Yarrowia lipolytica: one gene and its partner. The protein of the gene in region 1 binds, or shares a complex with, the protein of each later gene. Links are inferred from orthologs where the notes say so. Each region holds a gene or a part of one and is shown in the gene's direction. Other genes may lie near its edges. The genes, in order: YALI1_F32167g and YALI1_B04937g.

Region 1 (6,224 bases):
CCCATTGGTGTGTCTGAGATTGCTGGGAAGCTTGATGGTCTCATCAAGACCTGGCACAAGGAAGGCTGTCCTGGCGGTAGAACGTCTCTAGCTCAATTGGGAGCTGACGACACACCTTCGTCGATTGATGAGTTTGGGGAGATGCTGGGCGAGTTGCAGAAACATTATAGCACCTCTGCGGTCCGGATCTTCCCAAATGTGGACCCAGTGAAAAAGTACGAGGAACTCATGAGTGTATACGTCACTCCCTCGACTGACACATCTGATCGGGGCAATCCTCTTCTTGGAAAGTACCTCATAGAGTATCGCATCAAGACTGAGCGTATGTGTCGTCGGTTGGCAGCTACGCTCTGCTACCTGACGTGTAGCGTACGTCGCTCCAAAGAAGACAGAGGAAAGGAAAAGGACGTTCCGGTGCATATTACAAAGATGTTGGATGACTGGGTGATAGGTGCGCCTCCCAAAACCAACTACGATGATTGGGTCGAATTTGGAACGCGCAAGAATAAGCGTAAGGCCCCTACTCAGCAGGAGCTGCTTTCCCAGATTGTTGCCAGCAGAAACACGATTCCCACACTGTCTCTATCGAGCCAGGCTCCTTCGCAGCGAGCATCTTTGGCTCCGTCCAGCTCCCATCGCTCGTCGCTAGCTCGTGTTGCCTCTCAGGACACGAGAAGACAATCTGCTGGCCCCTCCGGTTCACAGGGCGGGTCTCAGAAGCGTTCCAAGCGAAGAAAGACTCTTGGAGGTTTCCGCTAGTATCTGTTTACTGTTCCTGTTTACTTGTATAATTATTGCATTTCAAAAATGGAGCGACGAGATAAGTAATCGTAGCTACTTAAAATGAGATTGAGACATGACTCGAGGACACGAATCCAAGTACAGTACGCATATTCTAAGGGTACGAGTTACAGTAAGTGTCGGTTCGTATCTGTTCAGGATCAACAAAAAATGGCGACGTCCGCAGGATTCGAACCTACGCGGGGAAACCCCAAGAGATTTCTAATCTCTCGCCTTAACCGCTCGGCCAGGATGCCTGAAAAATCTTCCGATTTTTGAAAACGTTAGGCAAACATTGTGCTTTCTGCTTAGTCACGAATCATTAGAAAAGAAAAAAAACGTTTGATTTTTGTAATTAGAATAAAAAAAAATGGCGTTCGATTTTGGTGTTAAGGAGTTTCTACGCCCTTGCTGTAGTTAGGAATGAATATCGGGCACTTACACGTGTAAAATGTACTGTATATTTCTTGTCACACACAATTGTGTAAGTACTTGTCGCGTGAGTTAGACATCCTATACAACTCCAAATCAAGATGTGGTAAACAAGCACAACATCCAACACCTGCCCACAGGCCCCTGGTTAAATAAAAATAAAAAGTAAAGAAGAAGCTCCACAGGGGCTCCAAAAACAACGCCCCATCGATCTTCATCGTCAAATGATTTTTTTCTTCTTCTCCTTTTCTGTTTTTTTTCCTCAAGCTTCAGGAGAACAGCTCTGAGCCCATCATACAGCAGTGATGCGATACTTTCCATGCCATTTAGTAAAGAACAATAGAACACACACTTGCCACTTGGTAAGACGTTCTGAAAATCAACTAGGAATTTTGTTTATTCTAGTGAAACACGGTTTTTTATTTTTATTCTAATGATTCATTACAGATTCATTACAGTACAGTAATCACGTGACCCGAACCACTTTTGGAATAAGAAACGGACCCGAATCTGGCACATTTCGGGCAACCTGGCCGAGCGGTCTAAGGCGCCAGGTTAAGGCTAACACCTTAACGAATATCCTGGTCTCTTCGGAGGCGAGAGTTCGAATCTCTCGGTTGTCATTTTTTGCTGCAATGGAACCGACTACTTGTAATGTGTAGCCATTGTTTTTGGTAACAGAACGCACCTATAATCAGTACTTCAACTACTTACGAGTAGCTTTCGCGGCGAATTAAAGTGTAACACTCAAAACTCTAACCGTTGCTGGGACAACAGGTCCCAAACACGAAACACGCTTAACGTTCTTTTTCTAAACCACACCTCTCAACACCTAAATGAAAGTCGAAGAGCTCGTAATCGACGGCTTCAAGTCGTACGCCACGCGTACAGTCATCTCCGGATGGGACCCGCAGTTCAACTGTATCACCGGTCTCAACGGTAGTGGCAAGTCCAACATTCTGGACGCCATTTGTTTCGTGCTAGGTATCACGACCATGGCTACTGTTCGAGCTCAGAACCTCCAGGATCTCATCTACAAGCGAGGACAGGCCGGTGTGACCAAGGCAAGTGTCACCATTGTTTTCGACAACTCAGATACCGCCACTAGTCCTATCGGGTTCGAGAAGTACGCCCAGATCTCGGTGACCCGTCAGATTGTGCTTGGAGGCACGAGCAAGTACCTGATCAACGGTCACCGAGCGCAGCAGCAGACGGTACAGCATTTGTTCCAATCGGTCCAGCTCAATATCAACAATCCCAACTTTCTGATCATGCAGGGTCGAATCACCAAAGTACTGAACATGAAGCCTGCCGAGGTGCTGGCTCTCATCGAGGAGGCCGCTGGAACTCGAATGTACGAGGATCGAAAGGAGAAGGCTCTCAAGACTATGGCGAAGAAGGATGCCCGGCGCCAGGAAAGTGCATTGCTTTTGGAGGAGGAAATTAAGCCCAAGTTGGATAAGCTGCGACAGGAAAAGAAGTCGTTCCTCGAGTACCAACACACCCAGTCCGACCTCGAGCGGGCTATCAAGCTCATTGTGGCACATGACTACATCATGTTGACCCAGGGTGCTCAGGAGATGACCGCCGCTATTGAAGCGATTGTTGCCGAGAAGGAAGCAAAGGCCCTAGCAGTGGAGCAGAACACACACGAGATGGGCGTGCTCGAGCAGGACATTGCCGAGGTCAAGGCTCGTCAGGCAGCCGAGGCGTCTAAAGATACGAATGTTTCTGTTCTTCAAAAGCAGGCCAAGGCTGCCTCCCATGAAGTGGTGCGTCTCAACACTACAATCGACCTGAAACGGTCCCAGCTTACCGAGGAAGAAGATTCACTAGCCAGTCTTGAGGCTACTGATCGAACCGAGGAGCTCCAGAAGCGCCAGGCCGAAGTTGACGCTAGCCAGAGAGAACTGGACGCTCAAACACAGCGTCTTGACTCCATGACCAAGGCTCTCGAGTCCAAGCGTGAACTGCTACAGTCGCTTCAGACCGGTATCGCATCTTCGGCCGGTAAGGAGTCTGGCTACCAGCGCCAACTTGCTGAGGCACGTGAACAGGCCAATGATTCTCGTGTGGCAATTGATCGTGCTCAGATGCGAATCTCACATCTGACAGAGGCTCTCAAAAGAGACGCTCCCAAGGTCGCCAAGGCTGAGAGCCAGAACCAGAGCGTGCTCGACAAGCTGGCTGGTCTGCGAGAAGCCAAAGGAGCTCTGGAAGCTGAAGTGGAGCGTCTTATGGCTGTTCCCGGAGCCGACGAGGACTGGACCGGAAAGGAGCGCGAGTGCATGTCGCGAATCGATGCTCTTTCTGCTCGAATTGACTCCGAGAAGCGTCAAGCGTCGTTCTCCGAGTTCACCTACGCTCGTCCTCATGCCAACTTCTCTGCTTCATCCGTCAAGGGTTTCGTGGCCGAACTGCTGACCATTGGAGATGAGAACATGGACAAGTGCATTGCTCTGCAGGTTGCTGCTGGAGGCAAGCTGTTCAACGTTGTTGTTGACAATGAGATCACCGGTAAGGAGCTGCTACAGCGGGGCCGACTCAAGCGACGAGTCACCATGATTCCTCTGAATAAAATTGCTGCCGAAGGTCTAATTTCTGCGGAGCGACTCGCCGTGGCCCAGCAGGTGGCCCCCGGCCGGGTTGGACGTGCCCTAGAGCTAGTTGGATACTCCGATGAGGTTGCTAAGGCCATGGCTTATGTTTTTGGCGGCACTCTTGTGTGTGTAGATACCGAGACCGCAAAGAAGTGTGCTTACCATCCCCAGATTCGTGCTCATTGTGTGACTCTGGAGGGAGATCACTACTCGCCTGAGGGTACCCTTTCTGGAGGCTCTCAGCAGCGAAGTGGAGATCTTCTCAAGAAGTTGACGAGCATCAACAACCTTACACAGGAGCTGGAGGAGGCTCGATACGATCTCAGCAACATCCAGAAGTCCATGGCTCAGTTTTCCAAAGTTATCTCTGAGCGACGACAGCTTGAAAACCAGCTTTCAATTCGGGAGCACGAGATCAAGACCGGCGAGAAGCAACTGGAGTCTTCTTCCAGTGCTTCTGTTCTGCGAAAGAAGCAGGAACAGGAGGCCGAGCTTCATGAGCTCCAGGAGTCCCTTCCCACGCTCAACCAGAAGCTTGAAGACGCCATTGCTCTGATTGGAACTATCGAGAGAGACATGGCTGACTTTGGAAAGAACAAGGGCAGTAAGCTTGAGGAGCTGGCTGCTTCTGTCGAAGAAATGGCTGCTGAAGTAGCTCAGCACCGGTCTGTTGTTGACGAGGCCTCAGCTGCCCATGAGGACATCCAGGTTTCTCTCGAGCAGTTTATGTCCGACATTACTGGTATGAAAGACGAGGCCGAGGCTTTAAAAGAGGCAATTCAGGCTACCCGAGGCGGCCTTGCTCAACTGGAGACTCAGCAGGACGAGGCCCGTGCTCTGGAGGCTTCTCTGACCCAGCAGGTTGAGGAGATGATGGCTGCTCTGCATGGCATGGACGAGGAGCGACGATCTTTGGAGGCTACTCTTCAACAGAAACGAGACTTCCATGCCGATGCTCTTGTCGCTGCAAAGGAGGCTGAGCATCTTCATACCCGTAAGATGAAGGAGCTGGAAGATGCTTCTAAGGGCGCCACTGCCATGGAGGCCAAGTACAACTGGGTCGCTGCTGACGCTCACCTGTTTGGCAAGCCCGGATCTCATTATGACTACGAGAGTGTGGACATCAAGCAGGTGCGACGGGCCGCTGGCCAGTTGGAGGAGCGAATCAAGGGTCTCGGACACAAGGTCAACGACAAGGTCATGAACATGATTGACAACGTTGAGAAGAAGGAAGCGACTCTACGAGGTATGATCAAGACCATCGAGAAGGACAAGGTCAAGATTGAGCAGACCATTGTGTCTTTGAACGAGTACAAATGCAAGGCTCTGACCAAGACGTGGAAGAAGGTGAGCGAGGACTTTGGTCAGATCTTCGCGACTCTGTTGCCTGGCTCCTTCGCCAAGCTGGTACTTCTGGAGGGCAAGGAGATTACCGAGGGTCTGGAAATCAAGGTCATGCTGGGTAAGATTTGGAAGGAGTCTCTGGCGGAGCTTTCTGGAGGTCAGCGATCTCTAGTTGCTCTGTCGTTGATTCTGGCTCTGCTCCAGTTCAAGCCTGCTCCTATGTACATTCTTGATGAGGTTGATGCTGCTTTGGATTTGAACCACACTCAGAACATTGGTCATCTGATCAAGACGCGATTCAAGGGCTCGCAGTTCATTGTTGTGTCGCTTAAAGAGGGATTCTTCAGCAACGCCAACCGAGTCTTCAAGGCTCGATTCCAGGAGGGCTCGTCGTCCGTCATTGCCATGTAGGATTTATGTGGGTTGTATTTTAATGTATTTATATGTATTCGAGTGTCTACCATGCTGTACAGTACATACACTCATATAAGTGCTAATGCTGAGCATCACGAATGAAAAATGATACAGGACCCAGTACCTACAGAGAGGCTGTACCATTAATTTCATTTTGATACATGAGACCTACAACGGAGTAGCGAACACTTATGTACGAAGATGTTATCTCGCAACACACCCAAAGCTCTAGACTCAATGCAATTGGAATTAGTCAGGTCTTAGTGTCTCACAGTCTACTTGGTTTCCTACTGGCTGGTGTGTGTCTCTTAGGTTTAACGGCGGTGAGGAAAGAGAAGCCAGACAAGAGTGAGACAGGAAGAAGTGTACAGTATATACTGTACATATTGTTGTTTGAAACGTGTATAAGAAACGTGTACTGGGACACGTGTAATTAGTAAATAGCCTTGAGACATGGTCCTGGTAGTTAGAGGCACATCACTGCTATGTGTGGCAACAGGCTCACTCCGGCAACTGGTGTTTACCCACAGTCGAAAAAGTTTTCTCCGGGTGAAAAATACTCTATGCCACTGCTTCTTTGTTTGGCTCGCTGCCATGTGCTACATGGACTTATCAGATGATGCTCGTTTACCGGACTATCTATTTTGATCATCG
Region 2 (4,861 bases), on another chromosome or scaffold:
ACGGCTGAGGGCTCGTTGACGAGCTGCTTGATTTCGTTCTCAAACGTGAACATGGTGCTGGAGGCCAAAGGTTCGTCCAGCAGCTCGGCAAGGTGGGATCTGGAGACCTTGGCGTTCCAGGTGGGCGAGCTTACCATGGTAGTACAGCTAGAGGCCGAGCCGGTGAGAGAAGAAGACCCAACGCTGGAGAAGCTGGTGTGGGTCTTGAGAGTGAAAATAGGTGAATGATCAAAAACGTCTGGGCTCAGAGCAATCTTCTCGAGGTCGAGAGGAGCAGTAGGGGTCCGGGTAGGGGCCAGGCCGGCAGGAGCAGCGTCCACGGGGGTCACTGGCTTGACAGCAGGCATAGTGAGCCGCTGGAGAAAGCCGGAGAGAACCGGAACAGAAAGATGGTCAATGATAGTCTGGTTCTCCTGGGTGGAGCGAGCCAGGTGGAGGCCAATGGGGATGAGGGAGGCGAGATGACGGAGACTGTCGACGAACTCGGCCAGGGTGGGAAGGTCGTCGTGAATGTCCTGGAGCGCGACCGGATCCACTGCGGAGGCAAGAAGAAGGCGGAGCTTGAAGGATCTCAGCGGAAGCATACACACCACATTGTCTGGGCACTGGGCCAGCAGCACAAGCGTGGGTAGGAACTGCATCTGGAGTCGTGGGATGAGGTGGGTGTGGGATTATGTGTCTGTGTCTGTGGCAGAGATGTGACTGACCAAGACTGAGTCACAATGTGTGATAGAAGCACCGTAACGCTGTTTCTGTGGGCCACTAGGTCGATGTAGTGGGCGTGAGAAGAAAGGATGTGTGTCTGTGCTAGTCTGAGTAAGAATGCTGAGAAACAAGTCTGTGTGTGTTTGTGTCTGTATCTGAGTCTGTGTCTGCAATATCGGCTATACAGACAGGTCAAGAAGAGGCCAAGTGTGCGTGTGTGCGTGTGTGTGTGAATCCAGAGCTGACTAGATAAAGGAGAAGGAACCGGAAGAAGGGGGTTTATATGTGAAGACACACAGTCATTCCCTCTATTATACGCGGCGAGTGGGTGGAGAGGTCAACTCTATCTTGTCACTCTGTTTGAGTGGTGGAGTGCACTTTCAGGGCTCTTGATCTAGAGGGCGCTCGCGTAGAATCATAACATGATGGGTATCATTGGAAAGCCATTCTCGACAGGTCGTCACACATGGTAGGAATGACCGCATCGACAGCCATAAAACGTCGCATTTTGGAGATATCCAGTTCGCCGACCATCTCTTTTCACCTTGCCTTTGCATATCCCGATTCAGTCTCCCCAGTTCCAATATCTCAAGGCTGTGCGTTTTTCCTCTTTATTGAACGTTTTTCCTCTTTGCTGAATGCCCAATGTGGCACAACTGGACTAGCCCTAGTCACATTGTCAATTGGGGAACAAGCCGAAATTCTCATTGCCCCACCTTTCTCTCAACCGCTTTTGGTATCACGAAATTTCATAGTCCTTGGGCTACGCGGTTCCTTCTATCCATCACCACTGATGAACTGTGAAGCGAGTCCCGACGACCCAGACCACTCCCATATTGACCTCCAAACTCAATCTCCAGAACCGCGTGCGTACATCCAACTGGGGTAACAGGCGGCGCTATTGATGGGTCAGCCACTGAACGATGGGTTAAATGTACCGGTACAGGTTAGGGCATTGGAATGTATGCGGTGGTTCAAGGCGATTCGAACTGTCTAGAATATGGCCTTCGAACAGCTGGTAATACACTTGTAGTCGTGCTTGTATTACTACCTACGCCATCAGATTTCGCACCGCCCCCAAATACGGAAGCTTCGGGTTAGGGTTATTTTACGCGGTTGCCAGGACAACGGCACACAACAACGCGTGAAGGCTATTTTGTAAATATACAGAATATACAGAAACCTCTTTACACTTTTCGATCCGTCAACACGACTAACTAAACATTCAGATAAACGAAAATGGCAAGACCAGCTCGACGACGGTCTTCCGGACGGTTTCTCCAACAGGGCGAATCCGAGCCTTCTCTGCAAAAACTGGTCCATATGAACGACGACGCTGCCGAGAAGCAGAAGCGACGACAGTCCAAGCGTCTCAGTATTCTTCCTGGAGCTGTTTCGCTCGGTTCTCCTGGCGCCAATGCTGGTGAGGACGTTGACGAGGGCCTTAGAGATCATCTGAACAATGCTGCTCCCCAAGTTCCCATCATGGCCAACTTTGAGGAGTGGATGAAGATGGTGAACGACAACAAGATCAATGCGCAGAATTCGTGGAATTTCGCGCTCATTGACTACTTTCATGACATGTCGCTGCTTAAGGAGGGCGACGGAATCAACTTCCAACGTGCTTCCGTCACTCTGGACGGTTGTATGAAGATTTACTCGTCTCGTATTGACTCCGCAGCCACCGAGACTGGTCGATTGTTGACTGGACTGGCTACTAAGCAAGGACGAGAGGATATCGGTAATGAAGACGACGAGGAGGAAGGGCAGGAGGGTGAGGAAGGGGAGGGAGGAGAGAAGAAGAAAAAAACCGTTCGTCCTCGAGGAGTTACTCTGGCTAAGAGCTTTGAGGAGAATGCTGCTAAGAAGCTTGAGCTCGAACTCTCTATCGATCCTCTTTTCAAGAAGATGTGTGCCGATTTCGATGAGGGAGGCGCCAAGGGCATGCTGATGAACTCTCTGGGCATCGACAAGAATGGTCGCGTGGTTTTCGATGGAGATTTCGACCAGGAGATTAGTAAGGGAGATTTTGCCGACCTTAGCGAAGACGAAGACATGGAGGATGATAGTGCCGACAGCTTTTCTCTGCAGCAGCTGGGGGCGAAGTTTTTCCCCGACCTGTCTATTCTGGCAACAAAGTCCGTCTGTCCTTCTGCAGCTATGATCGAGGCTGCTCTCAAGGACCCTAGTAATCTTCCCGAGGGTCTGCAAGTCGACAATCTCGATGACCGACCTTCCATGCCAGAGCTCGACTACGGAGGAGACGAAGACATTCTGGACGATGCCGCTCTTGGAGATATTGGTTTTGACGACCTTGGAGCAGGAGGCGATGACGATGGACCTGGAGGTCCCGTGGAGGATTTCGAGTTTGGATACAACCCCATGAACGAGCAGTATGCCGAGATTGCTCAGGATGTGGCTATTCCAGGCGGGGTGGGTCCCTCTGACCCTCGATACAAGCCCACCATTAACGAGGCTGATCTTCTGGCGTACTTTGATCACACCTTGAAGAAGAACTGGGCCGGCCCTGAGCACTGGAAGGTCCAAAAGCTGCGGGGAGATATTCAGAAGAAGGCCATTGAAAGCAGAGATAATGTTGGAGAAGATGGAGAGGAAGGAGAAGAAGGCGAGAAGGCTGACAAGACAAAGAAGAAGGCCGCTCCTGTCGAAGTTGACTTCATTTCCGAAGATAACGATATTGACGAGGCTGTGCTGTTTGGTCGACCAGCACACATGTCTACTCTGTCGCTCACCAAGGCCCAGCAGCGATCTGATACCAACAACCTGCTCCCTAACGACGAGCACTTCTCCACCGACAATCTTGTCAAGCTGTTCATCAAGCCCGGCAAGCGAATCACCGGTCTACTGTTCAAGCATCGAGTCACTCTCCAGAGCGAAAAGGACGCCGACCAACATTTCTGGGCTCAGCATTTCAACGAGGAGCTGGCAGAATACGGTGTTCAGGGCCCTGAACCTGAACCTGTTGATATACCTGGCCAGAACGACGATGGAGATGATTTCGGCGGCTATGACGACTTTGACGACTATGGAGGAGCTACAGATATGGGTGGGCCTCACAATGCGTCGTTCCTGGGCCTGCCCAAGGCTCATCCAGAGTACGTTTCGTACGCCAAGGTGGCCAAGCGAGTGGATGTTCGTAAATTGAAGGACAACCTTTGGAGAGTCATGGATTATGAAAAGGTGGACGAGTTGGTGGACAATGGCGACATGGTTGAGGATGCAGCAAAGGTGGAGGAGAAGAGATTCACCCAGCTCGTGGAGCAGGTGGGAGCCGAGTACCCCCGACAACAGAAGCAGGAGATCTCCACCTCGTTTGTGTTCATCTGTCTGTTGCATCTGGCTAACGAGAAGGGTCTCAGTATCGACCAGCAGGATGATTTGGCCGACTTGGCCATCAGCAAGGATATGAATGTTCGCCTGGATCAGCTGGGAGCATAATGGGACTGAGACAGCAGTTGTGTAATTTATTGATCGTATATAATAATGAGTGTACAATATGATGAGTGATGAGAGCGTTTGTAGAGTGAAGGGCGGTAAACCGTTTTGGCAAGGGGTTGGGTGATCTTGGAGTTTTGTCTGTAAGTTCCATATGATGCCATGAAAAGCAAAAACACATCTATATAATATCCTCGAGTGACCTATTTCATCGTGTAAACCACATCTTCTACCTAATTATCAATAATATACATTTTCCCCGATTTTATTTGATTTTTTTTGTGAGCGTATCCAAATGTCGGGATGTTTTATTCTATTTAATATTCTATTTTAGATTCTATTTTTAGTTCTGGTCACGTGATCAAAATTTTCGAGTGTGATGGGAACGATTTCTAAAATTTCAACAAAATGCCTGGCTAGCTCAATCGGTAGAGCGTGAGACTCTTATTCCAAGGTCATCTCAAGGCTGTGGGTTCAAGCCCCACGTCGGGCTCTCTTTTTTGGGTGGTATTTGCGTGTACAAGTACAAGTAGTAGGCTACCACCGTGAGTTGCGTCTAATTTTTTTTTCGCGCGGCCGAACTTTAAATGGATCACACGAAAGATCGATTCAGGGGTTGACATAAATAAGTCTACCGCAAGTACCCACATGGAAGGGGTTCATGCCCGGCGATAAATGGAAGGTGGGGAAGCTGTTTTTG

The links.
Region 2: YALI1_F32167g (region 1) and YALI1_B04937g share a complex: the UniProt entries of both Schizosaccharomyces pombe proteins name them as parts of the condensin complex. The link is inferred for Yarrowia lipolytica from reciprocal best matches to the Schizosaccharomyces pombe genes cut14 and cnd2.

Annotation. Positions count from the first base shown.
Region 1 is NC_090775.1:3,212,609-3,218,832, reverse strand, and holds YALI1_F32167g (uncharacterized protein), read left to right. Parts: upstream 1-2,048; coding exon 2,049-5,567; downstream 5,568-6,224. Other genes in the region: YALI1_F32204g (uncharacterized protein), read left to right, coding at 1-759. UniProt on the Schizosaccharomyces pombe protein: Central component of the condensin complex, a complex required for conversion of interphase chromatin into mitotic-like condense chromosomes.
Region 2 is NC_090771.1:490,806-495,666, reverse strand, and holds YALI1_B04937g (uncharacterized protein), read left to right. Parts: upstream 1-1,944; coding exon 1,945-4,164; downstream 4,165-4,861. Other genes in the region: YALI1_B04950g (uncharacterized protein), read right to left, coding at 1-641; YALI1_B04947g (uncharacterized protein), read left to right, coding at 795-912, 955-1,103. UniProt on the Schizosaccharomyces pombe protein: Regulatory subunit of the condensin complex, a complex required for conversion of interphase chromatin into mitotic-like condense chromosomes.